2 linked regions of the Anolis sagrei genome follow. The protein of the gene in region 1 interacts with the protein of each later gene in a pairwise test. Links are inferred from orthologs where the notes say so. Each region holds a gene or a part of one and is shown in the gene's direction. Other genes may lie near its edges. The genes, in order: PNKP and ZNF639.

The links.
Region 2: the proteins of PNKP (region 1) and ZNF639 interact in binary tests that used the Homo sapiens proteins (3 or more experiments, as listed by UniProt). The two-hybrid records come from large-scale screens. The link is inferred for Anolis sagrei from reciprocal best matches to the Homo sapiens genes PNKP and ZNF639.

The regions. Positions count from the first base shown.
Region 1 is NC_090026.1:28,271,100-28,286,736, reverse strand, and holds the start of PNKP (bifunctional polynucleotide phosphatase/kinase), read left to right. Parts: upstream 1-7,909; 5' UTR 7,910-8,098; intron 8,099-13,327; 5' UTR 13,328-13,416; intron 13,417-15,637. UniProt on the Homo sapiens protein: Plays a key role in the repair of DNA damage, functioning as part of both the non-homologous end-joining (NHEJ) and base excision repair (BER) pathways.
Region 2 is NC_090023.1:257,414,550-257,430,405, forward strand, and holds the start of ZNF639 (zinc finger protein 639), read left to right. Parts: upstream 1-8,704; 5' UTR 8,705-8,913; intron 8,914-12,624; 5' UTR 12,625-12,788; intron 12,789-14,606; 5' UTR 14,607-14,617; coding exon 14,618-14,675; intron 14,676-15,214; coding exon 15,215-15,310; intron 15,311-15,856. UniProt on the Homo sapiens protein: Binds DNA and may function as a transcriptional repressor.

The DNA.
Region 1 (15,637 bases):
TGGGCATGAATTCAATCCTTTCCTTCCCTGCTATGGTCCTGAGGGGGAAAATGTCCTATAAAGCTTCTACAGTATTTCTTTACTTATCGCAGAGGTTCTGTTCCAGGACCCACCACGATAAGTGGCCCTCTGACAGGGAGGAAGGGAAAAGCGCGCCTGCCCGGCCAAGGCCTTCTCTGCCAAAGGCAGCCCTTGCCCTCCTGAGCCTGTCCCTGACCCTGTCCCCTCCGCCTCCAGCACCTTTGGGCCTTGGGCCCGCCTGCATCCCTCTTTGGGGACCAGCAGGTTCTCCTCGCTGGGCACCTTGGCCCATGGCGCAGGCAGGCATGCAGGCCAGGAGGCAAAGGGAGGGAGGGGGAATTCGCTGCAGTAGGAAGGAGGCGCGAATGGGAAAAGAGAAGGCCGCAGGAGAGGGCTCGTCGAAGGTAGTGGTGCTTCCCGTGCCCTCGGTGACGGCCTCCTCCCCTCCCCCTCTTTCCCTGACAGCAACACCTCAGCACCCTCCCTCCATCAGTGCCAATCAATGACCCACAGGCACCAATAAATTCATATTTATTTAAAAATAAATTATTTTAAAAAAACGCAAAATAGCAAGTCTGCATAAAGCAAACTGCGGGGCAGCAAGGGAATACTGTATTTACATTGGAAATTTAAAAAATCCACAAGCTTGATACTTCCATAACGTTGTTGATCTACATATTAGAGTTAGCTTTGTTGATCCATTAGAGGTGCAGTTCTTCCAGTGTGATATTTTACCATTCACATGTTCTCTTTTCTTGCAGACTGAACTTCTTGAAGGGCTAGCATTTACTCAAAAGAGATAAATTGCTCTGGCCTCTGCCCATTTACAAAATCTCAAGCATGTCTCGTTGTCAGAAACCTGTGGAAACCAAACAGACACCAGGCTGTCAATGGATTTGCCACAAGCACTTATGAAGAAACTGCACAGTTCATGCCATCTGTAGCAATCGATCCCTCGGGATTTCAGGGCTACATCACCCTGCACAGAAAGACAGTTACACCTCACTGCTGCACTCTTATCCCCACCGAATTTTTAAAACAGTGTGTGTGTGTGTGTGAAAAGCAAAATGTCCCATGTGCTTTTGCCAATGGAAAGGCAATTCTACAATGTCTTTGGGCTGTGTTAGGCCCAGTAGATAAGCACTTTTCAAATCATGAAGATACTTAGAGCCCCCAGTGGCGCAGTGGGTTAAAAGCATGTGCTGGCAGGACTGAAGACCGACAGGTCGCAGGTTCGAATCCCGGGAAAGGTGGATGAGCTCCCTCTATCGGCTCCAGCTCCTCATGCGGGGACATGAGAGAAGCCTCCCACAAGGATGATAAAACATCAGAAATCATCCGGGCGTCCCCTGGGCAACGTCCTTACAAACAGCCAATTCTCTCACAACAGGAGCAATTGCTCCTGACGCGACAAAAAAAAAAAAAGATCTATATGAACTCCAGTCCTGATTAAAGACATTTAGAATCAAATACCCTCATCTACACACTCCAACCTTCACTTGAAAATTTGCTACCTAGAAACCAAACATGCAAAAACTAAAGGATCATTCTGTGTATGTTTCTGATGGACCATTCTAAACATCTTATGTTTGGACGGAAGGAAGGACTATGAAGTAACTCACATGCTGCAAAAACCCTGTTCTTTCCATTTCTGCAATCAAAACAAGACTGATCTACCTCCTCTAAAGGCTGCTGTGAGAATAAATGTGATATAGACAATTTAAAACCACAACTCAACACAACAGCAGTGCAATTGAATGAATATGTATTCTTGTCTGCTTGCCTTTTGTTAGATTTTCTTTGACAATGTATAATTTATATTTGTGTAATATGAATGAGAATGACTGAGGATCTAAGGGCACGTATCTTTGTGCTCAGAGAGTATCCAGTTCAATGCCTGGTTTCTCCTATAAGAAGTAGACATAGTAGATGAAGGAATGTCAGAAATGTAAGATGAACTCTGCTTGATCAGATCAAAGGTCTACACAACAGAGCATTTTGTTTCCTACGGGTAAGCCAGATGTCTGAAAGGAAAGCTTAAAAGGTGGGACAAAGCACATGCAGCTCAAACCATGGCCAATGCCCTTGTGTGTAGTATGAATCACACCAGGTCAGTCTTTCCTAATCTGATGACCTTTAAATGTATTGGACTGCAACATTCCATGTTGGGAGAATATCCAATTAAAAAATCTAGAGTACACAACTACTGGATCATTGGTTTGACCTAGGCCCCTTCCGCACAGCTGTAAAAAAAACCCACATTGAACTGGATTATATAGCATTGTAGACTCACATAATCCAGCTCAAAGCAGATATTGTGGATTAACTGCCTTGTTATTCTGGTTTATATGGCTGTGTGGAATGGCCCTTAGAATAATAGAGGTGTAAGAGACCACATGTGCCATCTAGTCTAACCCCTTGCCACAATCAAAGCACCCCTGACAGATTGATATCCAGCCTCTGCTAAAAGCCTGTAAAGAAGGAGCTTCCAGTGCACTCCGAGGCAGATCAGGAAGTTCTTCCAAATGTTCAGGCAGAATCTCCTTTCCTATAGTTTTAATCCATTGCTCCGAATCCTAGTCTCCAGGGCAGCAGAAAACAAGCCTGCTCCCTCTTCCTTTACAACATCCTTTCAAATATGTATGCATGGCAGTCATAGGCCCTTCCATACAGCCGAATTTCCCAGAATATCGAGGCATGAAATCCCACATTAGTGTGGGATTGAGTGTGGACTCAGGTAACCCAGTTCAAAGCAGATATTGTGGGATTTTCTGCCTTGATATTCTGGGATAGGGGACTGTGTGCAAGGGCCCCATATCTCCTGTTGTAAAGAAGCTTCCCGTGTTTCTATGGCAATCCACACAAGCACCTCTGAAAATATATGTGTACATAGCCCAAGTTGCCATTTAAGCACAACTGCCTGGCCTTTGATACCTAATCCTAAATTTGCTACTCAGACAGCACAGCAGCCATGGCAACCTCATTGTGACAGGAAGATGCATTGAATGGGGACTGATTAACTGACTGGAGAGCATTATAAGGGAATATCGCAGTGAGCAGGAATTATTGTTAGCTCAACTATTGCCTTCTATTTGCCAATATTCTTGGAAAGGACCTTGGTTGGATCAGGTCCTTTGCAAGCAAGGCAGTTCAAAAATACTCTAGGATCACATAACTTGGGACCTCATCACATGTGCCTTTTGAAGCATCGGGAATTGTCTACTTAGCAATGGAAATCAAACTCCAGTTATATCTTCACTGTCAAGTCACACTGATTATGTCCTTTGTGCCACATTGGTGGACCACTGAGATCATAATTTTGTTTCATTTTGAAGACCACATAAGCCTGAAGTTATCCTTCTTCTAGAATGAATCAGAGAGGAAGCTACACATCTTTCTGTTCATGGTTGGGGATCATTCCCCAATGAGCCAAATACTTTAGGGCTCCTCCTACAGTGCCATATAAAATCCAGATCATCTGCTTTGAACTGGATTATGTGGCAGTGTGGACAAATATCCAGTTCAAAGCCGATAATGTGGATTATCTGATTTGATAATCAGGATTATATGGCAGTGTTGAAGGGGCCTCAGATACAAATTACTTTTTTTCTAGTGGTGCTAGTGAACTCTTATAGAAACAAAAAAAAGGGGGGAAACAGTAGCAAATAGCAGAAGCAAGAAGTCGTGTTATTTTGTTAATTTTGATATTCTGTAAAATATTATTTTTGAAACATTGAAATAAAGTATTTACCAAAAATCAGGATCCTTGAGACGTGCAATGTTTCAAAACAAGAGTTTTCAGTGAGCACTATGGAGGCCCAGATATCTGTAGTGGCCAGGAGGGCCTTTGCACAATTAAAACTTGTGCGCCCACTGTGCTGGTTTCTTGAGAAGCCAGATCTGACCACAATGGTACACGCCTTAGTTACATCCCGTCTGGATTACTGTAACACGCTCAATGTGGGGCTGCCTCTGAAGAGTGCTTGGAAACTTCAGCTGGTCCAAAGAGCTGCAGCCAGGTTGCTCACTGGGGCTGGTTACAGGAAGCAGACAATCCCCCTGTTGCAGCAGCTCCACTGGCTGCCAGTTTGTTTCCGGGCACAATTCAAAGTGCTGGTGTTATGACCTTTAAAGTCCTAGACAGTTCTGGATCTGCTGTTGAAGGAAACAAAGCAAAAGCAATGTGGAAGACTTTTGTCCCATGGATACCTATGATGCCCAGAAGGGAAGTTTGGGTGGCAGGCTCATGGCCTCCTGCTGTGTTCCCGTTAGGTTCTTTGTTGCCCAGATTATGTCCCATCTCTGGTTCTCACACAAGGCGTGGAAGGGGTATCTGGAATTGCTCAAGAGATTGCCCAAGAGGTTACTGCAGTTCATGTACATTTGCCTTCTATTTCATATAGTTCAATAATAATAATAATAATAATAATAATAATAATAATAATGTTATAGTTCATGTGGTTCCTTTGATATAGGCTTCTAGAGGGAAAGAGAGGTGAAATCTTCAATTGAAGATTGGTATCTTGTACAGTTCAAACCCAAGCAAGTGCTACTAACTTCATCTGCTGCTATTTCTAATGGTGGGAAATGGCACCCATAGCATAGGCCCTTGCCTCTCCCAGTCTCCCCCTGTATCTCAGTAATGATGGTCAGTTAGCTGACTCAACACTCCAGAACAGTAGATTGGATGATGGTTGGTGTGGTTATGTGGTTGCTGATAACAGTGATCACAGGGCCCCCAGAGATGCGTCCCCCACGGCATTCCGCTGTTCCCTGCTTCACTGGACAGTAGTGAGGTCAAAGATCCCCTAATGGCCTACCGGTAATCAGAAGTCCCAGAACAAGATGATCTCTGCCGAAGTTCTATTGTTTTGGCCTACAGACCTCCAGCACAGAGTGTCTACACTACTTTAATCCTTAGCTATTGCAGCTGGCTGTGCAGGAGCCAAGGATGAAATGTCCTTCTCGGCATGCGACCCCATACTTCTCTGTATGCAGCCGTATACGGCCACATGTCATTGAAAATGGCTACGCATGTCAGTGCTGATACGCATGTCATTGCTTCACCATCATGAATCTAGGCCAACCCCATCCTCCTTTCCTCACCATCAATGCATAAAGCTCTTTCTGGTTGCATGTGGAGACTTCATTCAAGGAGGCGAGGGACTCGCAGGTCTCGGCCAGGCCACCCTTCAGTTCAACCAGGCCTTGGAAAAACTGGGAGACTTTCACATCCAAGTGGTAGAACTGTGCATTAAGACAGTGGACAGCCACATCCAAGCTGTTCAGACAAGGGATGGGGGAGGAAAAAGAAGGCACCATATAAATTGTGAATGTTCTTGAAGAAGGCGGAGGGTGCATCTACGCTGTAGAATTATAGCGGCTTGACAGCACTTAACCGCTATGGCCCAATGCTGTGGAACCGGGGGATTTGTAGCTGGATGAGGTACCAGCACAATTTGGCAGTAACAGCTAAAGACTTGATAAAGGTACACCTTCCATGAGCCATGACAGTTAAAGTGATCTCAAACGGCATTGATTCTATAGAATAGATACAGCCTGAAACAGAAGTGGGGGGGGGGGGGGGGGAGACTATAGTGTGAAAAAAATGAACAAATTCCTATGCATACTGCACAGATTTCATTTTGTAGTGTGAAGAAACATGAACAAACAATCTTTAAAATGAAGAACAATTTTTTGTTGTCTCTCTTCAAGTCATTTCAGACTTAGTGCAATCCTAAGCCTAAAGTTTAGTACAGGGAGTGGATAAATGACTTCGGAGGGCCACATCTGGCCCGCAGGCCTTAGTTTAGGGATCCCTGCTCTAAACCGATTTTGCAATGCAGAATCCACACAATAAAGGTGTACCAAACTGTGCCTCTCCGGATTTGCTTCCAAATCAAGAAAAATGCATGTAACTCTCTTCCATCTCTTAAGGATACAGATGACATAAGGGAGACATTGGTCGGTAATTCTTGGCGTTGGAGGCATCTTTACCAGGTTTTAAAATGGCAATAACCTCAGTTTTCCTCCATCGTGTGGGAATGTTTCTGTGCCAAGCATTGATTGTAAACGGCTGCTTCCACTGTTTAACACTATTGAGATATCGCAATCTATCGTTCTCAGACTTTATAAATGGGAAAGTATCCATCAGTACTGGACAAACAGGAACCAAGGTTAGATTCACTGGAACTGTATATTGGCAGCCCACCTATAGCTCCATTAACAACACACATTGAAGGGTTGGGCCCAGCCTCCAAGGAGTTCCTTTGCCAAGAGTCATTGCCTCATGTAAGCCGTCCTGAGTCCCCGTTGGGGGAGATGGTGGCGGGGTATAAATAAAGTTGTTTATTATTATTATTATTATTATTATTATTATTATTAAGTGCTGACAATATATTCATCTTTTACATCCATCACAAGGTCAGTATTACTTTTTTTTTCAATCAGAGGAAACAACAATATCCGAAAATCAAGAGATCCCTTGCCCTGCCCTAAGCCCCTTACCTTAAAGGAGATTGACACCAGTTTAAAATTATTATTATTATTATTATCATTATTATTATTTATATTCCGCCCTATCTCCCCAAGGGGACTCATGGCAAGTCACAGTACACATTGTCAGGGCAAAGACAGACAGAACAAAAAGGAGGCATGTTGTGTTGTGTTGAATCTGGCTTTTTGGTACCTTTGGGAGTTAGGCTCGAATCCAGCCACAGGGGGGTGCTGTCGCTCCATCCTCAATGACAAAGAGCCATCAGGACTTCCTCCTTCCTTCTGGTCCCTGGCATTTTCTGATATTTTTACTTTATGGTGTTGTAAAACCACTTTTTTCTTGGGATCTTATGGTTCTGTCCCAAATCACAGAGGATGCATGAGAAAGTGATCAAAGCTAAAACCATTGCTTTCCATGGGATCCATGCCTGCTCCAGGTGATTTATTGCTGTTTGGTGTTTGATTGTTTTGGCAATGAGTGTTTGCCACTTGGTTCTTTTGTCTGTAAACCGCCCTAAGTCCCTTTGGAGAGATAGGGCGGTGTATAAATAACGTATTATTATTGTTGTTGTTATTATTATTATTGCTGGGCCCTGGTCAGAGTTCCCTCCTTTCAGGAGATATTGGCCTTTTTCCAACCCTGGAACATTTTATGAGCTCAGTGCTTCTCCATGATAGGAAAGAGGCTGGGGTGCCCTGTCAAGGGGAAATTTCTCAATGTGAGGAGGTGGTTAGAGGATGAGCCATACTCTCCCAGCCTCAGAGAAAGGCCATGGAAAAGCTCCCTAAGGAATAGGGTCTAACCCCCCCCCCCCTTCAGCCCTGGATGGAGTTGGGCAGGGCACACACTCTCTGTCTCAGAGGAAGGCCATGGCCAAACTCTGTAAGGAAAAGTGACTGAGCACACCCTCTCAGAGGATGGGACCCCTAAACCCCCTGTCACTATCCCTCCTGCCGCATCACAATCACAGCCAACCCCCCTCCCTCAAAACCTCTCCTCCTTGTCATTTCAGTCTGCAGCCTAGTCAAGGATGCCTCTGATATCCAAACCTTCACCACCAAGGCGGCCCATATGGGCCCCTGGAGAACGGGGCGCTCAAAGGGCATCGGAGAACCGGGCCCTAATTTGGGCCCGGAAAACAAATGAGATAGTGGCCCGCAAGGAGCCCCAGTTTTTGCAGCCCCGCCTGTTCCCCGCCCTGGGGGAGCCCAACCCAGGCGGGAGCAGGCCGGGGCTGCCTCGCACCCAGCCCAGGAAACAGGGCCCCCTCCAGCCTCTCCTCCTGGGCAGGAGGAGGGAGGCACCAGAAACTATAGTAGATGTAGGTGGGGCCAAGACCAGGGGCGGGCCACAAAAAGGGAGGCGGCGTGAGCAGGGACCTCTCCGGGCCCTCCTGGCGGGGAGAGAGGTCGAGGAGGGGGCACTGCCAGTCCTCCTCCTCCCCGCCCCCGAGGCCCCTCCTCCCCGCCCAACCAACAACTGGGGCCCGGAGGCACGATCCCTGCTCCCGGCAATCCACCAGCCCGCCGCCACTCCCACCCCGCCCTGGACCCCGCCGATGACCCCATCCAGCCTCTTCTGGTAAGTAAGTACGCATGCGCAGCATTCCCCCTCCCCCTTTTTTCGGGCCATGTTCCAGAAGCATTCTCTCCTGACGTTTCGCCCACATCTATGGCAGGCCTCCTCAGAGGTTGTGAGGTCTGTCAGAAACTAGGAAAACAGGGTTTATGTATCTGTGGAATGTCCAGGGTGGGAGAAAGAACTTTTGTTTGTTGGCGGCAAGCGTGAATGTAGCAATTGGCCTTGATTAGCATTTAATGACCTAGCAGTTTTCAAGGTCTGGCTTCTTATTGCCTCGGGGAATCTTTTGTTGAGAGGTGATTAGTTGGCCCCAGGGCCATAGCCAGAAAAATTTCGGGGGGGGGGGGGGGTTAAGATGGGGGAGGTGAAACCTGCCTCCTAGCTCACGCTGAAGCAAGGAGCACAGCAGGGGGCAGAGCAGCCTTCAATAGCCTCCGGCTCCGCCCCTGTCAACCACCTCCACCAAGTCTGGCCTCCTTAATGAGAGCATTCAACCCTCCCCCCCCAACTTGGTTGCTTCGCTACATGGGCTATTGCTGCAAGTAATGACAGTGTGAATAAATCAATATTTGCTTGAGATAGTGCTTGCAGTTCTGGAGGGACTCTTAATTTTTTGCGTCTCATAGACTTAGCATGGGGATTTGGTTAACCAGTTAAAATTCATGAGCAAACCAGGGGTTTTTTTAACCTGAAAATTGGGGGGGGGGGGGGGGCGGGGGTTGGCCTTGGTTGTTTGTCTGGAATTCCTCTGTTTTTCAGTGTTGTTCTTTATTTACTGTTATGATTTTAGAGTTTTTTAAAATACTGGTAGCCAGATTGTGTTTGTTTTCATGGTTTCTTCTTCCTTTCTGTTGAAATTGTCCACATGCTTGTGGATTTCAATGGCTACATTCACACCTACCTCAAGCAGACAAGAGTTTTTTCTCCCACCTTGGACTTCCCACAGATATATAAATCCCATTTTCCTAGTTTCTGACAGACCTCACAACCTCCGAGGATGTCTGCCATAGATGCAAGTGAAACATCAGGAAAGAATGCTTCTGGAACATGGCCAGACAGTGCAAAAAACAACAACACAACCTTGTTTTGTGTCCACAATTCCTATATAACCTGCATTCGTGATTCCTACAAAGCAGTTCCCTGATCCACTTCCTTAGAGACAATTCATGCAAGGCAATTAGCTTTCTCAGCTGTTAGACCAATATACCTAGATATCTCTTTGTACTGTTAGGAACAAAGATATGCCAATGCACAAAAACAGCAGTTTCTGTGCTTTCGCGCGCTGGGCCTATGACAATGTCTGTTTATAGGACGTGCTTTCTGTATGCCTAACGGGACGCTGGGGTGCCTCAGCTATTATTATTATTATTATTATTATTATTATTATTATTATTATTATCTTTATTTGTACCCCGCTAGCATCTCCCGAAGGACTCGATGCGGCTTACACGGGCCGAAGCCTCAAAACACAATACAATAGAAAACATAACACAACAATAAACAAAGCAAATCAAACAGTTAAGCAAAATAACCACAATAACAATACATCAAGACACTATTAAAACTGGTTCGGCCAGCGCAATGGGGTACAGGGTTAAAAGTGCTGAGATGGCAGGAGGAACGTAGGATTAAAGTGTGGTGTGCAGCAGCATTGGTTGTGCTAAAGTGCTTCTAGGACTTGGGGTGGGGATTCCTAATCTACGAAGGCACATCGGAACAGCCAAGTTTTTAGATTCCTTCTGAAAACTGCTAGAGTAGGGGCCTGACGAAGCTCTTTTGGAAGGGCATTCCAAAGTCGGGGGGCCGCCACAGAGAAGGCCCTGTCCCGCGTCCCCACCAAGCGCGCTTGGGACGTAGGTGGGATCACGAGCAGGGCCTCCCCAGCTAAAGGGTCCCTTAGGTTTCCCAAAACAAAGTTCTGTAGAGGCTCAAAGTAAGTCCAACAAAGTTCTTTATTAAGGTTTAAATTTTCGAACAAATGAATAAAATGCCATATAATCTTCTAAAACTAGTAGTTTTCTTGATCTGCCAACAAGAGAAAGGCAACTGCTTGATAAACTGCTCCTATCTTCTTTAGGGAAACCTTCCGACCCCTCCTTGGGCAATCTTTCTTAACCGTGCTGGCATGAGGCCCCAACTCCCGGCTCCAAGTTGCATTATGGATAGCTCGAGTGGTCCCTTAACAGGCAATGGTTGTTGCAGATCTGCCAAGCTGGTGTCCTTTTAGCTTCTCCACGAAGGCTATGGAACTATTTCTTTACTCTCCAGCAAAACTGTAGAGATTTTCCTTTTTTCCCAGCAAAACCTGGCTGTAGTTCTATATCTTTGGCCCGGCAGAGCTTGCTGTAGATCTGTTTCTTTAACCCCAGCAAAGCTGGCTGTAAACCTAAACCTTTTACCCCGGCAGAGCTGTAAGAAGCGAAGGTGGGGTAGAGAGAAACCCACATGTCCTACTGTAAGGCTTCAATTTGTGAGATGGAACTGAAAATCCCCTTTTCCCTCCAAAACCTGGGGAAAGGGGCAGATATAAAGGCTCTAATGATGATTGATAAGTTATTGGCCCTGATTGCAACCTGGGGAAAGCTACCCAATTGCAAAATGCATGGCCCAGATGAAATTCAAACAAACCAACAGTGCAAGAAAAGACATTCAAATCTCCTGGCACAGCCGTGCCAGCACAGTTTCAGAAGTGTTATTTCAGTTGCCCAAAAACATATACTCTCCCTTAAAACATCTTGGTTTAAATCATGCTCTCAAGAGACCAGGTCTACACAGCAGAGCATTGTATTTCCCAGGGGTGAGCCAGATGTTTTAATGGAAAGCCTAAAAGATGGAACAAGGACAAAGCACATGTAGCTCAAGCCATGGCCAAGGCTCTTGTCTGTAGTGTGAATCACACCAAGCCAGTGCGGTATGTGATCCGCACTTCCAGCATTTGTTTTGCGCTTTCTTATACATTAGTCCTAGTTTCTGAGGTGTCATGTACCACCTATAGAACATTTTCAGCCAGTTTTCTTTCAGGTCAGTTGAGTAGGTGTATTTTATCTTTTTGAGCCAGATCTGTTCCCATTCTCTAAATTTTATGGGTCTACCTATATTGGCTGCACATTTGGTCATGCATACTGGCACGTTTTTCCTATGGTGGACATGTACCAAAGCAAGAATATACTGGAAATCAGTACAAGAAGAATACTAGAAAATGCTGAAGACGAACATTCAGAAGAGACCAGAATATTTCCTTCTAGGGATAACAGATGAAGATACGGATCTAGATCAAAATAAAGGCATTCTGTTCACATACCTAATGACGGCAGCCAGAACGGTGTACACGAAAATCTGGAAATCAAAAGAACTTCCATCCAAAGAAGAATGGCTAATTAAAGCCAGCAAAATAAGAGACATGGACAAACTGGCCTTCTGTCCCAAAGAATCAAAAGGAAGATCAATAAAGAAAACAGATTGGAAACTATTTGCTGAGTCGAATACCCGACTGAAGATTAAGAGAGGATCACAAAGAAAGGTGGCTACAATTGAAACTAAAGAAGAAGACTTTAAACTGAAGAAGAAAACAGAGCAAATTTGATTATTAGCAGGAGAGAAGCCGAAGATATAGAAAAGAACTGAGATTTCTACTCCTACTTCACCAATTTATTTCCTGGCACACGTGGAGAATTAGTTTGGGAAGTCAAGATGTTCCCTCCCTTTCCCATAACCCTACTCTCCCCTTTGTGTGTACCCCCTCCCCACATATAAGTCCCCATTCCTTCCCCAACCATGAGCCTTTCCCACCCCCATAACCTCTCCCCCTCCCTATCATCTATATTTTATTTGTAGAACCAGAAAAGCATTCAATAAAAATCTATATTAAAAAAATGTATTGGACTGTGGCCAGATTGCTAACAGGAGCTCCGTACAGAGAGACATCCACTCCCATGTTGTGGCAGCCCCACATTACCTTGGTCATCACTTTGAAAGCTCTAAATGGCTCGGGTCCATCTTGTCTTACAAACCAGCCTGGGCACTCAGGTCATCAGAGGAGGCCCTGCTTTTGGTCCCACCCCCATCTTAAGCACAGCTGGTGGGAATGAGAGGGCCTTCTCCGTGGTTACTCCCCACCTCTGGAACTCCCTCTCTATAGAAATAAAGTTGCCCCCTTCCCTCCTCTCCTTTAAAAACCAACTGAAGATCTACTTTTGCATACTAGCATATGGAGAGGAAGAGGATTAGATGGTTGAGAGATCATTGCCGAGCCTCTGGTTGAGAATTATTTTTATTTAGGCTTCACTGGTCCACACCAGCCCAACGATCACATAACCAACCTGCAGTTTTTGGTGAACCCTTGATGGCTGTTGTACATTGCTATGGATGTCTTGTTTAGATCTATATTATTATAGAATTTTGTTTGACTATGTGTAATTTAATTTATTGATGTCAAGTTTACGTTACTGATGCTAGGTTTTTAATTTGATGTTAGGTTTTAATGCTATTTTTTATGGCTGGGTGGTTTCGTTCGTTAATTTCGTAATTCATTAAAAATTCGTTATTTTTTTTATAACGAATTGATAACGAACCATTCAGGAGCAACTAAAAATCGAAACGAATTTTTCAATTCTTTTCGTAATTGTTTCGTATTCGTTTCGTATTCGTTTCGTTATTATTTCCGCATGTCTGGGGCAAGTTTTATAGTTGTTGTTTGTTTAATCAGTGAAAAAAAAATTATAAATATCACACCAACAGTCAACAACAGAGGGAGAGGGAAGTTTCAGAAGTTCCCCCTGTCCCATTTGGAGGTTTTTTAGCGTATTGCGCGGTCGCGTCCGCCATTAACGAATCGATTCGTAATTGTTTCGTAATTGTTTCATAATTGTTTCGTAATTTCCGAAATTAAAGAAAAATTTCAGAATTCTTTTAAAAATCGAAACGCAAAAACCCCCCAAAAACGAATCGAGTTTAGAAACAAATTTTTCCGTGTTTGGCCAGCCCTACTATTTTTATATGTGGGGGTTTTTCCGGGATTTTATTCCGAATGATGAGAAAAAGCCTATATATACCTCTACCTGTTGTCTGTCTTGTCATGGTGTAATCAGTGTTGAATGTTTACCGTAGGTGTGTTCTGTGATCTGCCCCAAGTCCCCTGCAGGATGAGAAGGGCGGAATATAAATATTGTCAATAAATAAATATATAAAATGCTAATAGTGTCAACTGTCCTTTTTCTTTCTTCTTGACAGAAAGTGAGACCACCTACCACTTGGGAGCTGAGTTTGGCTGTGGCGGGGACATTGACAGCACTGAGGTATTCCGTGTGACATTCTCGGATGTGAGTCTACAGGGGAAGGGACGGGAAGAAATGAATACTCTCTCCCCCTCACCCCTTTACTGCACTCTCTAATGACCTTCTTAAACTCTCAAGTTCTAAGTGTTGTTGCCCTTCTTCTTCAGAGAGAAGCTTGTGAGGAAGATGGGCCAAGAGAGACTTGAAATAGCCTCTGCTTTGCGTGAAAACATATCATAAAAACAGTGTGAAAGGAGATGAATATTATACACTGGAGCTCCACACACAAGGCTTTACTCTGAGACAGAGATTTACCTCACACTGACTGAGTTCTCAACTGAGACAAACGAACACTAACAGGCTTTGGCCTACTCACTCTTTCAGGGCTTGACTTGTAATCAAAAACACCCAGTTAATATTTAATATTTCTGACCATGTTCACTGTTGTTGTGAATGAGAATTTTTGAAGTGAATGTATAAGGTTTAAAGAAAGTAGATATTAGGCTTGTTTGATTTAAAAAACTTGTTCAAAACTCGTTTCGGATATAAAGGTCGCAGGTGGTTTGATTCGGAAATCAATTTCGATTTTCATAGAAAAAAATGTTCAAAACTTTTTGAAACTTCCGAGACTTCCGAATTCTGAATAATGGGTTGAAAGTCTTATTTCCTGCTTCAGTGAGTGGTCTTTACTTTGAAAGTAGTTGTTTTACTCCAGAAAAGGGGGGGGGGGGGCAAAGGGAGGAAATTCATCCACGCTGGTTTAAAATGCTTTCCAGACTCCAGGCAGAAGCGAGCAGAGAGGAGAGAGAGAAGAAATTCACCACTCTGTTTTAAAACGCTTGCCCAGACTCCAGATGGTCACCCAGCGTCAATAATAATAATAGCGAGGAAGAGCTGAGAAGCCTTCTAATCAAGGTGGAAGAAGAAAGCGCAAAAGCTGGGTTGCAGTTAAACATTTCAAAAAACCAAAATTATGGCAACCAGACTGATTGATAACTGGCAAATAGAGGGAGAAAACGTGGAGGCTGTGACAGACTTTGCATTTCTAGGTGCAAAGATTACTGAAGATGCAGACTGCAGCCAGGAAATCAGAAGACACTTACTTCTTGGGATGCGAGCAATGACAAATCTCGATAAAATAGTGAAGAGTAGAGGCATCACACTGGCAACCAAGATCCGCATAATTAAAGCAATGGTATTCCCCATAGTCACCTACGGATTTGAGAGCTGGACCATAGGGAAGGCTGAGTGAAGGACGATAGATGCTTTTGAACTGTGGTGCTGGAGGAAAGTTCTGAGAGTGCCTTGGACAGCGAGAAGATCCAACCAGTCCATACTTCAGGAAATAAAGCCTGACTGCTCATTGGAGGGAAGGATATTAGAGACAAAGTTGAAGTACTTTGGCCACATCATGAGAAGAAAGGAAAGCTTAGAGAAGAGAATGATGCTGGGGAAAATGGAAGGAAGAAGGAAGAGGGGCTGACTAAGGGCAAGATGGATGGATGGTATCCCCAAGGAGCTGGGGGAGGTGATGGCAGACAGGGCACTCTGGTGTGGGATGGTCCATGAGGTCACGAAGAGTCAGAAGCGACTGAACAAATGAACAACAACACAACAACAACAACTAATAATGATAATAATAATACGAGTTTTCACAACCTGGCCCCAGAAGTTTAGGCAGGCAGGAAGGCAGGCAGATCACTATGAGCAGAGGTCCTTCTCCCCGCTGCATCCTCCATGCTCAGTGCAGGCCAGTGTGGGGAAGGAGGCCAAAGGCGACCTTTGGGAGCGACGTGGCATAGGCCAGACGCTCCGTTTGGACCCAGGAAGGATGGAAGAAGCATGAGGAAGGAGATGGGAAACAGCAACGGGCACACTCGCCAACCGCTTCACTCAGCCAGAGGTGGCTTCACCATGTCAGGTCAACTGGCTGAGAAGGCCTAGTGGCCGGGCAGTAGAGCAGGGCCCCTGGATGCACACTGCCAGGGCCTCTTCCTGCGCGCACTTCCCAATGCTGGGAGAGAGAGGCGTCCTGGCATTGGCAAGCACGTGGAGGAAAGAGGGCTGAGAGCACACACCCGGTGAAGCACTCAGAGGAGAGAGAGAGGAAATTCACCATTCTGTTTTAAAACGCTTGCCAGAAGCGAGGGGAGAGGAGAGAGAGAGAGAAGAACTTCATCCGCTTGAGCCAAGGCCAGGGACCAGTAGTGGGGAAACGCTGAATCATTGCCGACTCACTTATTGCTTCGGAGCAGAAATGGCAGAA
Region 2 (15,856 bases), on another chromosome or scaffold:
GTGGAAGGCAAAAGGAAGAGGGGCCGACCAAGGGCAAGATGGATGGATGGCATCCTTGAAGTGACTGGACTGACCTTGAGGGAGCTGGGGGTGGTAACGGCTGACAGGGAGCTCTGGCGTAGGCTGGTCCATGAGGTCACGAAGAGTCGGAGACGACTGAACGTATGAACAACAACAACAAGCTTTTAATATTATTTCCCCATTTGTTGGATGTTAATATTTCATCTGCCATTAATAAATCCCAGAATAACCCCTAATGTGGTATTAATTTCCCTTTCTTGTGTCCTAATAATATTTGCATCTAAGTGCAGCTCTTATTTGTTTTTACTCTTCCCCTCTCAAAATTGTACTACCTTAAAATTATTCCATTATATATAGTTTGTACATCCAAGCTACCAGTACTAATATCTTTATTTCCTAGGAATCTTAAATAGATGCATAGGAGTAAGATACCAGGTATACCTATTCCAGGAGTATGCCCATATGTGTATTTCTCCAAAGAGCAAAGTAAACAGTGGCTGACTCCAGTATTCCTCACTGAGCATGTGTGAACAGCAACACAGAGAAAATGGAAGAATGGATCATCTTTGCCTCTCTAGCTACCTTCAGCATGTCTTTAAAAGCTATCTATATATCTCATCACAAAAAATAAGTCATAATAAAAGTGTTGGCTGGAGAAAGAAAAAGCTACTCATGAATGTATTTTAAGAAGCTTTGTTAAAGTCTAGAATGGCTTAAGGAATGTTTTTGTTGATTTCTCTAAAACCACAAGACAAATCGTTGTCTCATTTTATAAATGCACATTGTTAATAAAAATGCAGTAACATGTTGACCTGTTGTTCTTTCTTCTGAAGACATTTATCCCTATTCTTTTCATGTTATTTCTGCCTTTGGCACAAAGTACAGAATACTGTTCTATCCTCTCAGCCATCAATGAATTGCATGCGTTCACCTGCCTATCAATACATTGATTTTATAAACTGAATTATGCCTGTAGTACAAGCTGCAGCTAGATTTTGGCTCCAGACAACCAGTTATTTTAGTTAACTCTTGGTATTTAATCAAGTGCTAATTTCTTACTGTACAAATATGACAAGGAATTCAGTTGCACCTTTGAAAATAGGAAGAATAGAATATTTCCTAATTTTTCTTTATCAAACACAATTGCATCAAAGGATTCCTGGATTACTTTTTTCCTTTTTATGTTAAAAAAGACTAAACCAGCTATGCATTGAGTATTTACTGCTGAGCATTGTATGTTGCGATCACCCCTTAGTCAAAATATATTCCCTGTGTCTGGAAGTTCAGCTCCCAGATTTCCCAGGCTAGTGCTAAGGATTACTGGGATTTGGAATTCAAAATATCAAAATTTGAGAGCCTACATGTTTACATTACAATTTAATACACAATTTAATACACAATTTAATAAAATAATGTGCATTATTTTAATATTACTGCTGCTTGTGTGTGTAGGGCAGGACAAAAGATACACAGCCCCTTGGCTTTCATTGTGTGAAAATCAGGTGTGAAACCGCAGCAACAACAACAATTTTTATTTATATCCCACCACCATCTCCCCAAAGGGACTTGGCTGGGGATGGTGACGGCCAACAGGAAGCTCTGGCGTGGGCTGGTCCAGGAGGTCACGAAGAGTCAGAAACGAATGAACAACAACAAGGCACTCCAGGGTGCACATATAACATACAACAGGTAAAAACAGTACGAAAGTATAAAATAAGTCACGTAAGGTTATAACAACAACCCCTGTCAACACATCTAGAATAAAATCAAAATAATATGGTTTTAAAACAACAGTAGATAAAATTAACTGCAGTCAATTCAGAAGGTGCCAAGTGTCAGCTTCATATGGGCCCATTCAGCCTACTCAAGGTCAAAGGCGTGTCTGAACATCCATGTTTTCAGGTTGAAACGGAAGGACTGAAGGGTGGGGACTAATCTAATCTCTTTTTGAAGGATATTCCAGAGCTATGGAGCCACCACAGAGAAGGCCTTCTCGTCCCCACCAGCTGCGCTTGAGACTGTGGTAGGACCTCATTGAGTCGCCTGTTAAGGGCTGAAAAATGCGGTATAGAAATAAAGCAAATAAATAAATAAGGGCCTCTCCTGTCAATCTCAGAGCCTGCGCCAGTTTGCTAAAAGAGATGTGGTCTCAAAGATAGGTTGGACCTGAAGCAAGGTACACTTAGTAATACAAACTGAAATCAGGAGAAATTACACTCCTTTTTTTCCAGCCATGTATGTTTCTACATTTCTATGACTCTTGTCTGGTTTCTGCATTCTCATATCTAGAGTCCCGGGATTCCTAACCATGGATTCCCAAACTATGTTGGACTATTGCTACTAAAAGCCATTTCCATTATGGTTAATCTTCTGAGAGTTAGGGATTAAAGCTTGGAAATGAATGAATATATTCATGTATAAATTGATGTCGCTCATCATTCAAGGGCGGATTTTGATATAACCCATGGACAGGTTAAGCGTCATTTTATGGAGAAGGGAATGCACCACTACTGCCTTGGGCCCACCACCACCTCCCCGGCATTGAAAAAGGGCAGAAGCGGTGAACTGGTGGAGAGAATAGAGGGGATTGGCAGTTCTTTTAGGTTCTCCCAGAATAGACTATGCTTTTGCCTTTTTACGATTCTACTCAGAGAAAGGGATGGTTCCTTTTTTATAAGAGTCAAGGTTCAGTATTTATACTGACTCATGGACCAGTCACCCCAGATGTTTGGGATCTTTGCCTAAAATTTCTGGACTTATACATTAGTATATATATGGTACATTATGTATTAATATTGCTCTAGGCCTTTAAGCTTACCTGATACGATCAGAGTGGCCATCAGTGGTGCCTTTTCAGAACTTTAGGGCTGCTCGTATTGCCTGGCATGCTGCCCTCTTGACTTCTAACGCTCTCTCTGGTTGGCCTGACTGATAGACAGCTACCTGAACCTGAACCTCTGGCTCTGTCCCATCCTGATCTAACAATAAATCTGAACAGAAGAATCCATCTAGCAAACACCTTAGCCAACGGCGTGCCCGAGCTTCCTGTTCTGCGTCCAGACCCGGATCTGGATCCACCTGCACGATGACCCCAACCAATGCCACTGGATTATAGTAGATGCAGTTCTTCAGCTTGTGTAGCATTTCTGCCAGTCGGTCCAGTTGGTCCCAGGACTTTAGGAAAGGAGCTCTGCACAGGAAAAAGATGAGCTGGGAATAGATCCTTTCTTGTTGCCTGGAGCAGCCATTTTCATTGGAGAGGTTCCTTTCAGGCCTTTGGCTTTCTGCTTGATCACAGCAGATCACTGAGCTAGTCACATGGAAAGCTGGAATGGGGAATTTTGCAAACACTTCCTGGCGGAAGTCCTCCACCACCGCTTGGCTTTGGAGCTCCCCAAGCAAGTGGACATTGCCTCCCATCATGAACTGAAGGGTCACAAACTCCAGCTCCAGCTTTTCTTCAAGGGGAAGGTCAGATCTGGTGACAACCCCCAACAAGTCCCTGACTAGCTTGAGCCCTGCTTCTTGATCTTGGCTGTTCTGCCCTGCCAGCTTTCCATGGACTTTCCCGGCATTCTCTGCAACATCTCCCCAAGATCTCCCAACCTGCCTCAAGATCTTTTTGTGAGTTCCTCTTGACCAACTCCTGAGCACTTCCTGGTCTGCCCCAACATGCTCTGTGTTTTCAATCAGGTTTTCGGTAGGTGGCTCAATCAATTCTTCGTGCCTTCCTTGGGGCTGCTCCTTGATCTTTGGCCTGGCTCCTCCAGCTACATCCATGGCAAAGTCGTAATCCCTCCCAATGTTGTCTTCGATGTGTGGTTGAGCAGCTTCATCAAGCACTGCAATCTCTTCCTGGGATCTCTCTACAGTCGTATCCGACTCAGTTTCATCCATCTCTGTGATGAGCACCTCAAGCGTTCCATTGAGCTCTGTGATGTTTTCCTCAGCGTCTGCCTCCTCTTCGATTCCTCCCTCCAGATCCATTCCCTTGAGGCGCCTTCCTCCCCCCGGTTGATTTCCCCAGATCCTCCTGACTATGACTGGCTTCCTGTTACCTACACCTATGGCCTCCCTTGTGTCACAATACACCTTGACCCGACTCATTCAATGCACATTGAGTTTGGTTCAGCTTATGAAAGTCACAGCTATCCCCTTAACATTGTCATGAAATATGATGTATGGTTTGAATGGAATTGTATGAAAGATGTATGGTTGGGGGTCTATATAGTTTATAAAGATGCCATTCTAAGATTGAAGCACGGAAAACTGAGAAGGAGGTGAAGAATTCATGGACGATAATTACAAGTTGTTGGTGGGAACTGTGACAATGATTGTTAAACTTTGGGTAAATAACAACATGTTTACATTTTCAGAGACAATGGCTTGTTAAGTTAAGGAAATGTTTACAAAGTTCCTTACATTAAAAAGGAAGTTAACACAAGGCTCCTTATGTTTACCTACACCAATTAAGGAGAATCAATATCTGCCAGGAACTGGGGAGCCGGGATGTTTCAGGCTGGGAAAACATCATTTACAACTTTGGAACAACATCGGCAAGAAATATTGCTGTATAAGATACCTTATTACAATTCCAAATTTGTTGGAGATCGGAGAAGTCTAGCCCATCCACTGCTCTTCTCCATGGGAAGGAGAGAGAGGTGGTATATTTGGGAGTGGCAGATCTGCAATTAAAAGCAGAAGTCTGGTCACTTGCTTCTTTCTCGGGGAAAGAATGCATTTTGGAAGTATTGGAAAAACAGCAGATTTGCAGGGGGGGGGGAAATCTGGCCTAAGAGGTATTTTTCTCCGTGAGATGAGAGGAAAAGAATGGTGAAGTATGCATAAGGAGGATTGAATGTGTATGTGTGTGGTGTGAATGCTGAGTAAAAATGTAATTCCCCTTTGTTAGCCAATGTAACTGTAGGTTGTTTGTGGATTCAATGTAATTGTATGGAATCTGTACATCTGTATGGCCAATGTCATTCTGATACACTTTCTCATACAGTAAAATTGCAATAAAAAGAACCTATGCTTTAAAGTTATTGAAAAGTTATTCATAACAACATGGGTGGCTGCTATTGTATTCCTTGAAATGATAGATGGGCCTCCACCTGGAGGCCCAAGTTCCCATCATAACTTGAAACATAGCCCTCATCATGTCTCCTCTCAGCCTTCCCTTCAGCAGCTCTTTAAGCAGCTCCTCATGAAGCTTATTCTCCAGACCGTTGATCATTTTAGTCGCCTTCCTCTGGACACATTCCAGCTTGTCAGCATCTCCCTTAAATCGCAGTGCCCAGAACTGACCAAAGCAGAATAGAGGGGGATAGCACGACTTTCCTGGATCTAGACACTAGACTCCCACAGTCTAGTGTCTATTTATTTTTTGAAATGATTTTTTTAGCTGCATGACATTGTTGTCTCATGTTTAACTTGTTGTAAACATGGGTAGCATTTCGCTATTTTTTGTGGTGTTATGTACCACTGATACATCATATTATACCAATTTTCCTTTAAATCCTAAGAGTAAGTAAATTTTAATTTTTGGTTCCATATTTTTCCCAGTCTTCCGATGTAACTGTATGCCTAATATTTGCTGCCTTTTTAATCATGCAGTCTTTCACTTGTTCTGTTTCTGTCGACCATTCTCATAATTTTTTTTTATATTTTAGTTATTAGCTTCTTATGTGTTTTGTCCCAGAAAGTGTCCTTCAAAAATCTTATTTTCTTGTCATTATTGTAGTATTCACTTATTTGTCTGTATGGGAATTAAGAGATATTCTTATCTAATTGTGTAAGTTCTTTAAAGGCTTGGTTACAAAGCCACATTTTCACTCTTGTGGAAGGTCAGAAGAGAGGGGGCTGATCTAACATCGCTGGGGGGAGTTCCACAGTCGAGGGGCCACCACTGAGAAGGCCCTGTCTCATCTTCGCCAATTGCGCCTACGAGAGAGGCAGGACTGAGAGCAGGGCCTCCCCAGATGATCTTAAACTCCACAGTGGTTCATAAAGGGAGATACATTCGGACAGATAAGCTGAGCCAAAACCATTTAGGGCTGTATAGGCTAAAGCCAGGTAGCGGATTGGCAGCCAGTGGAGCTGATACAACGGGGGTTGTACGCTCCCTGTACCTCGCTTCAGTGAGCAATCTTGCTGCCACTCATTAGACCATTTGTAAGGAGGAAAATTTTGAGGGACCGCAAGAAGATCCAACCAGCCCATACTTCAGGAAATAAAGCCAGACTGCTCATTGGAGGGAAGGATATTAGAGGCAAAGATGAAGTACTTTGGCCACATCATGAGAAGACAGGAAAGCTTAGAGAAGAAAAAGGAAGGAAAAAGGAAGAGGGGCCGACCAAGGGCAAGATGGATGGATGGTATCCTTGAAGTGACTGGCTTGACACTGAAGGAGCTGGGAGTGGTGACGGTCGACAGGGAGCTCTGGCGTGGGCTGGTCCATGGGGTCTCGAAGAGTCTGAAGCAACTGAATGAATAAACAAACTTCTGAACAGTCTTCAAAGGCGGCCCCACGAGAGCGTGTTGCAGTAGTCTGTTCAGGATGTAACCAGAGCGTGGACTACCATAGCCAATATATAGGATTTCCATTCTGTTTTTTCAATATTTCTCTGTAGGTGAGCCACGTTTCTTGTCCCAAGTCTCTTCTTACTTACTTACCTAGGCGATCCTTCATTGTCCGAGTAAGATTGTCTTCCAAGATCAGTGTACTGGAGGTGGGGTACGTAGGTGACTGTGGAGCCCAATTCTTGATCTGCATGTTCTCCCGCAGTGAGGGCATTGGTTTCCAGGTGGAAGGCGGTCTTGGTCGGGGTTGGCTTGACGCGCCTTCCTCTTGGCACATTTCTCTCTTTCACCCTCCATTCATGCCTCTTCAAATTCTGCAGAACACCTGACCTCCAGCTGGAGCGCTCAAGGGCCAGGGCTTCCCAGTTCTGTGTCTATGCCAGAGTTTTTAAGGTTGGCTTTGAGCCCATCATTAAATCTCTTTTCCTGTCCTCTAACATTCCGTTTTTCGTTCTTGAGTTCGGAATAGAGCAACTGCTTTGGGAGATGGTAGTCGGACATCCGGACAACATGGCCGGTCCAGCAGAGTTGATGGCGGAGGACCATCGCTTCAATGCTGGTGGTCTTTGCTTCTTCCAGCACACTGCCTTTTGTCCACTTGTCTTCCCAAGAGATTTGCAGAATTTTAAAGAGGAAACGCGGATGCAATCGTTCCAGGAGTTGCACGTGACGTCTGTAGATAGTCCACGTCTTGCAGGTGTATAGCAGGGTTGGGTGGACAATAGCTTTATAACCTAGCACCTTGGTATCCCTACGGATGTCCCGGTCCTCAAACACTCTCTGCTTCATTTGGAAAAATGCTGCACTCGCAAAGCTCAGGTGGTGTTGTATCTCAGTGTCAATGTTGACTTTTGGGGAGAGATGGCTGCCAAGGTAGCAGAAAAGGTCAACATTTTCTAATGTTACACCATTTCTAATGTATCTCTGGCATTGGAGAGGGATTGGCTGGTGACTGCTGGAAAAGCACTTTGGTTTTCTCCATGTTCAGTGATAACAGGCCGAGCTTCTCGTATGCTTCTGCGAAGGTGCTTAGAGTGGCTTGTAGGTCTTCTTCTGAATGCGCACAGACGACGTTGTCATCAGCATACAGGAGTTCTATAACACGTGTTGTTGTAACCTTGGTTTTGGCTTTCAGTCTGCTGAGGTTAAACAGCTTGCCATTCGTCCGATAGAGAATTTCCACTCCGGTGGAAAGCTTCCCGTCAACAAGGTGAAGTATCAAAGCGATGAAGATGGAGAATAAAGTTGGGGCAAAAACACATCCCTGTTTGACACCGGATTCCACCTTAAATGGGTCACTTTGGGAGCCATTGCTGTCCAAGACTGTTGCCATCATGTCATCATGGAGGAGTCGCAGGATGTTCACAAATTCACAGCCAGCCCTGAGGTCAAAACCTTCTAATGTCAAGATTTTTGTTTTGTTTCGTGTCGACCAACCTTTAGCTCAAGCCAAAGGCCTCATAATATAATTTAAGATCTGGTAATCCAAAGCCACTGCTATTTTATTTTTGAAATGATTGTCAGCTCTCTGACAACTGTATATCATTCCTTGTTGAGGAGAGAGTGTGGCCTTTGAGGCCTTTCCAAAGGGAGCGCCTCCTCCTTTATGCCTCAATGAGCGTGCCTAGGGGGGCGTGGCCAGGGTGACAGGAATTCGTAGCCTTCTCAACCGCCTGGTGCGAGGGGGCGTGGCTAGCTGCAGAAGCCCCGCCCCTTTCTCGTGACAGGAATTTGAAGCCTTCCCAACCGCCTCGTGGGGGCGTGGCTAACTGCAGAAGCCCCCGCCCCTTTCTCGTGCCAGGAATTTGAAGCCTTCCCAACCGCCTCTTCCGGGGAGGCGTGGCTAGCTGCAGAAGCCCCGCCCCTTTCTCGTGACAGGATTTCTAAGCCTTCCCAACCGCCTCGTGTGAGGGGGCGTGGCTAGCGGCAGAAACCCCGCCCCTTTCTCGTGGCTGGGATTCGAAGCCTTCCCAACCGCCTCGTGCGAGGGGGCGTGGCTAGCGGCATAAGCCCCGCCTCTTTCTCGTAACAGGAATGCGAAGCCTTCCCAACCGCCTCGTGCGAGGGGGGCGTGGCTAGCGGCAGAAGCCCCGCCTCTTTCTCGTGGCTGGGATTCGAAGCCTTCCCAACCGCCATCCTCGCGGGTACCATTCCGAGGTACGGCAAGGGGGCGTGGCTATCAGCAGTAACCACGCCTCCTCTCTCCCCATTGGCTGTGCGTGGCCTGCGTCCGTCCCTTTCTGCTCTCCCCCTCGCCCTCGGCGCACGTCTCTTCCGTTCCGGCGTCGCTTCGCTTGCGGCCTGCTCAAGGTGAGTCCTGCGGCGCTTCCTCTCACTTCACGAGGCGAGGAATTGAAGGGAGGGCCCGCTGTGTCTTTATTTGGAGCTTAGTGACTGCCTGTGGACATTTGATTTTGGTCGATATTTGTGGGAAAGCGGGAAGAGCCATTCCTCGGACCCAGTCCTGTTATTATTATTATTATTATGGCTGCTGTTGATGATTCTTCAAATGGTTATATATATAGATATATAGATGATATATTTGAACTATATTATTATATATACGACGACTTATGATATACTATAATATATTATGTAATACGAATACTGGTAGTGTATGATATATATTGTGATATAATAATATAGTACAATATAGTAATATATAATATAAAATAATAAAGAGTAATATATATATATATATATGTATATATAATATAAAATAATAAAGAGTAGAGACATCAGACTGGCAACAAAGATCCATTGCCTGGTCAAAGCCATGGTATTCCCTGTAGTCACCTACGGATGTGAGAGCTGGACCTTAGGGAAGTCTGAGCGAAGGAAGATCGATGCTTTTGAGCTGTGGTGTTGGAGGAAAGTTCTGAGAGTGCCTTGGACTGCGAGAAGATCCAACCAGTCCATCCTCCAGGAAATAAAGCCCGACTGCTCATTGGAGGGAAGGATACTAGAGACAAAGTTGAAGTACTTTGGCCACATCATGAGGAGACAGCAAAGCCTAGAGAAGACGATGCTGGGGAAAGTGGAAGGCAAAAGGAAGAGGGGCCGACCAAGGGCAAGATGGATGGATGGCATCCTTGAAGTGACTGGACTGACTTTGAAGGAGCTGGGGATGGTGATGGCCGACAGGGAGCTCTGGCGTGGACTGGTCCATGAGGTCACGAAAAGTCGGAGACGACTGAATGAACGAACAACAACAACAACAAATATAATAACTGTATATTATATATTCTAAATCTTCAAGGCATTTTTGCCTTGAAAACCCTTCCTCCCGGATCTGTTTTAACTATCTGGATTTTTAAAAATCCACTTTATAGAGTGCCTGATCTAATAGAGAAAACCAATGTCTTTTCTTGTCTTGTACAATATTAAATATTGACAAATTTATTACCTTTTATCTATATAAAAATAAACATGTAATGTTCGAGTGTGGGATTAACATAACTCAAAAACACTGGACGAGTTGACACAAAATTTGGACACAATACACCCTAACAGTCCAACAAGTGTCCATCACCCATAAACACACACAGACACAAAACCCCAGTGGAACAGACTTAAAAAACCTAAAAATACACCATATATACTGTATATTATACACACAGGCATATACTTATGCACATGTACACATTCATACACACATATATCCACATTTATACATATATACACACAAATATGCATATAGACAAGCACACACATATACACAATATGCATGTACACATATAAACAAACAAATACACAAATATATATACACACACACACACATATATATATATATATATATATACGCAAACGCACATATATACACAAATATATATTTATTTACTTCATTTATATACCGCTTTTCTCAGCCCTTAGGCGACTCACAAAACACATATACACAGACTGGGCCACAGCAATGCGTGGCAGGTGACGGCTAGTATTACTAATAATATTGCAGTATAGTGTAGTCTAATAATATATTATATATACATATAATATAGATAATATAATGTAATATAAGATAATACAATAATGATACAGCCTAATAATTTATATGTGTTATGGTAATAATATAATATATTATATATACATATAATATAGATAATAATATAATGTAATACAATATAATCATACTGTAAAATTATAATAATATATTACATATAATACTACTGTATACGAACCCACATGATCTCTTTGATCATCTGGGGAGGCCCTGTTCTCGATCCCACCAGCATCGCAGGCGCGATTGGTGAGGATGAGAGAGAGGGCCTTTTCGGTGGTGGCCCCTCGACTCTGGAACTCACTCCCTAAAGACATCAGACACGCTCCAACTTTGGCAGTCTTCAGGAGGAAGTTGAAGACGTGGCTGTTCCAGTGTGCCTTCCCAGAATAATGATCCCATAGCACTTTGTCCTCCAAAGCCCTTTACATTTTCTAAGTCTGCTCGTATGCCCTTTCACAAACACCAGTATCAACTTCCGTTCATGTCCCAGCATATTTCCAATTTTAACTTTACATTTGGCCTCCCCTCTGTTTTTAATTGTGTGTTATTTTATTGATAATGTTGTTTATCTTATTGTCTATGTTTTTAAATTGCTTGTATTGTTGTTTTATTGCTTGTATTGTTGTTGTTGGGCTCGCTGGTGTAGGCCGCACTTAGTCCCTTGGGGAGATGGTAGCGGGGTACAAATAAAGTTAATAAATAAATAATAATAAATACTGATAATATATAATAATTTATAATGATAATACTGTTTTCTTTTTGTATATTTGTATATTTTAAGCTGTAATGTTTTTGATTGTGAGCCGCTTTGAGTCTCCGAATGGAGAGATATAGTGGGACATAAATAAATAAACCTGATCTGTGAGTAACTAGGCATCAAACTGTGTTGTGAAAGTAACCGTAGCTACTCAAGAATAAGGCATCTTTCCAGATGAGTATACTCAGAGGTAATTGTGCGAAAGAGTGCAAACATAATATCCGTCTTGCCTGGAAATCAAGCACAAAGGTCAGAGATGAGAAACAAGGTTCGCAGTGATTCAAGAGGCCTCCTTCAGACAGCGATAGGGGGGTGAAAGGGAGGTGTTTATTAAATCCATGTTCAGAATAAGAGAAAAGGCTGTGTGTGTGTGGCTATACACTTAAAACATTGTCTAAAACAGAAAATGTCTAAGAGCCACACTAGCTGAATTGTTATCTAGATTTTCTTTTTTTGGTTTGTTTCTTTTCCAGTGCCATCTTGTCATCTTCCTTTCATTTTTTTTTTCGGGACCTTTTATAGAAAAACATCTGCCTTTTTTCTGCCAAGGTTTTTTTCATTGATTTTATTTTAATTGAGATTTTTTCCATCCTCCCTTAGTAGAAGTTTTTATTATAAAAAGATATCTGCAGCTGTCATATCTATTAAAGCAAGCATCAGTTATGTCACTGCTTTCTCCATACTCCCCCTAGTTCCAAAGTGAGAGCTGAGTCCTGATATGGTTGAAATGGACTAGGCCCCTTCACAGTATCAGTGTAGATTTCCTCTCTAGCCAAACAGAATTTTCATGTTGATGTCCTTCCACCAGCAAGAGCATGATCTTTTAGCTTTCTTTCCAATTTTTGCAATCTGGCATTGTTTATGTTGATCTCCAATGAACTCTTGCCCATTCCTTCAGTGTCCTTGTAGTTTGTAAACTAAGAAATTACAATACTATTTTGCCCGTTGATCTGTATACAAGAATTCAGCCTCTGAGAAGCTTTTTTTGATGCAAATGAAATAAAGAAAAGGTGCACACACTCAGCTTTTGTTTCAGAGATGAAGGAAAAGAATCTTCTTCGTGGTTACTTCTTGTATTCTATATGTAATGTACTCTGTCACATCTCTGTATTTGCCAGAGTATTCAACATTTATAAATACTTCCAGAATTAGAAGGGATTGTTTGTGCATGTTTATACACAAAAGAATATGTGCAGCATAAAGTGTTATAATCTGAATTAAACATTTGGGATTTGTTTGTGTGATTGTGTTTCTCTCTTTTTAGATGCTTCATCTGTTGTCAGAAGCTGTGTAGTCAACAGTCCTTCTGTTCTTATTTCACTTTTCGGTAATGAAGAGTCCATCTAATAAGCTGAAAGACCTGATTATATAATCATACGGCAGAACACAGTTAAAAGTGGTGTACCAAGTGGGTTTTTTTTTAATCTGGTATGTTTTCAATTATGTTTTTTATATTTATTCTATGTATTTTAGATGTATTTTAATTGTTTTTACTTTTCTAATAGAATATTTTTAGCTAACCTTCTGTTTTATTTTAAATTGTATGTCACCCTGGGTCCCTTGGAAAGAGAAAGGCGGAGTATAAATGAAACCAGATACATAAAAGAATAATTAGTGCCTCCTAGAAATTAGCTAAACTGGCATAAAAGTCTCACAAGTGTGCCTTGTGAATAACGCCCTAAAAATTGTGGATTTGTCATTTAAAATTGGGAGCCATCTAGATGGGATTGCTATACTGGAAGGAGAGAGGCTTTTTCAAAATTAAAACAAACCGTTAAGGGAATTGCTACCCTCCCTGTAGACATCAGACAGGCGCCCTCCCTTATGACATTCCGCAAGAGACTAAAGACGTGGTTGTTTGAGAAGGCGTTTGACTAAGTGCTACAACAATTGGCAATGATGATTGGAACGGAATATGGATAACGAGATTGGATTGTGATTCTATGATGAGACTCGTGAATGATTTAGTGTAATTGTATTATTGATAGTGATGTTGTTGTTGTTTGTGATATTGCCTTTATTGTAAATTGTTTTTTTATATATGTTGTACACCGCCGTGAGTCGCCCTAGGGCTGAGAACGGCGGTCTACAAATGCAGTAAATAAATAAATAAATGGCAGATAAAGATGCAAATGACATTTTGTTCCCATTGATTTTTCATCAATGTTGGGGAACACAGGCTTGTTTTGCCACAGCCATTAACGATAAAACCTTTTTGTTATATTTTGTTTCATTGTTGTCTTTTTAAATCTCACAGTGATAGATATTCTGGGAAGGTTTTACAGAAACCTTACATATTTGTGTTCAATAAGCTTTAGAAGAAAAATCAACCCAAAAAACCAGAAATGACTTACAGGTCAATGTGTACTTTAACTCTTGTCAAAAAGTAGGAATGATCCCCTAAGCAAGAGCTTAATCTGTTCTGGGAGAACCTGAAAGAAGCAACCAGCCTTTCTACTCTCTCTGCCATGAGGCCACTTCTAGCGTTTTTGGATGCTTGAGTGGGAAATGAGGGCACTGACCAGAGGAAGCTGGCTCAGAGTTGGCATTGATGCTTTCTCCTCTCTGCAGAATTAAATGACATTATGACATTCCTACTGTTGTTTCTGTTGCTGTGTAATTTCCAGCGTTCTAGCTCCTGCGTATCAGCAAAAGCCAAATTAATTGGATATGTCATCCATCCTCTGAAACATTAGCCTAAATCAATTTGTGGATCTCAGCTAGACTCCATGAGCACTTACTGTGTAGATCCCATTGATTCATCCGGTCTGTTTTAGTTAGGACTGACAGTTGGAGTCATACCCCTGTGACTGACAGACCAGTCTCCCAAAAATTCAGGTCATCTCTGTATGAACAGTGAGTCCTTGATGTCTTCTGGGATTTGGTTTTAGAACTCCCTGTGGATACTGAAATCTTTGGATGGTTAGGTCCATTATATACGTCCTAATAAAATTGTGCCCCTTATATAAAATGGCAAAATCAAGGTTTGCTTTTAGATATTTATAATATTTTCAAACAGTAGGTGGTGGAATCCGTGGATGCAGAATCTGTGTTCACAGAGAGCATGATGATCTCTCGCCTTAGTGCTTCTTTTTAGACAATATTGGATCTTGCTAGCAGTCAGACTAATCATGTTGGTTAATTACTGGGGGTGTCCTAATTCCTGATCTTGGTGGTTGAGACAGCTTATCTGTATCTCTTCACATTGAAAGAAAGAGCCTTAACAAGTTCTTTCAACTGTTTCAGACTGAAGCAAAATGAATGAGCATCCGAAGAAGAGAAAAAGGAAAACTCTACATCCTTCCCGTTATTCAGGTTAGTTAGGAACAGATATGTTTGCTTACTTAAATGGTAATGCATTTTACATTTTCTTCTGAGCATACTAGTTAAAGATAGAAATGGATAGCAGAAGTGAGAATTACGGTAACTGTTTAAGTAAGGATAGGCAATATCTGTGTGAGGCTAGACAGCACTAGGAGCAAGCTTCATGCAGCCCATGGAACGCTTTTCCCAAGCCTGGTTCAAGCAAGGCACTAGTTTGGATTTATATATTGTTTTTACTACACTGTTAATTTAAAATGAAAGTTTATTGAATCTGTAAACTATGTGTAGAGAGCCAGTATAGTGTAATGTTTTGAACACTTGGGCAGCCTAGAGCAAGTCGCTCTCTCTCGCCCTCAGAGGAAATCAGTGGTAAAGCCTACCACTTAGGGTTGCCATAAGTCAGAAATTATATAAAGATACAAAACAAAAATATGGGGGCTGTTATATATATATAGTTTGTGTATATCAAAATACAATTTTATGGTGCTTCTGTTATTTTGTATGCTTATGTTTGCCTTCTTTCTTTGTAGATTCTTCAGGGGCCCCAAAATATATAGACAACAGTGGCATATTTTCTGACCATTGTTACAGTGTGTGTTCCATGAAACAGCTTTCTGATAATCGAGGTAAGGCTTCGCGTTTTGCTCCATTTTTTCACAGCTTTGTTGTTGGAGTGAGGTGGAAATATGTCTGGGGAACATATCCTGCAAACCATATGGTATCTGCACACAGCTTTTTTTGTCATCGCAGCACAGATGGTGTATGCACACAATATAAAGACATTATGTTAGACTAGGGTATCAGCTCTTTCCATCTTTCACCTACTTTTATTGATTTTTTAACTGTGCATTTCAGTTTTCCCTAACAACTGTATTTGTAGGCATGGCCTAAATCATGATTCTACAAAGGGCAATGTGTAGATCTTGCATGGTAGGCAGCCAAACCCATTTTATTCCCTGATGCTGATGAGTTGAGACACTGGTGACATGAATGCATGTGTTTTAATTAAAAATAATAATAAATCTGTCAAAGTAAAAGTTCTCCATTCTGATCTGAGGTCATGTTCTCACTAACAATATAAAAAGTAAGTTTACACTTGAACAATGAAATCTGAAAACTTTTAGTAAAAATATTTTAATATTTTTGCTAAATAATATATGCCGTGGATGTAG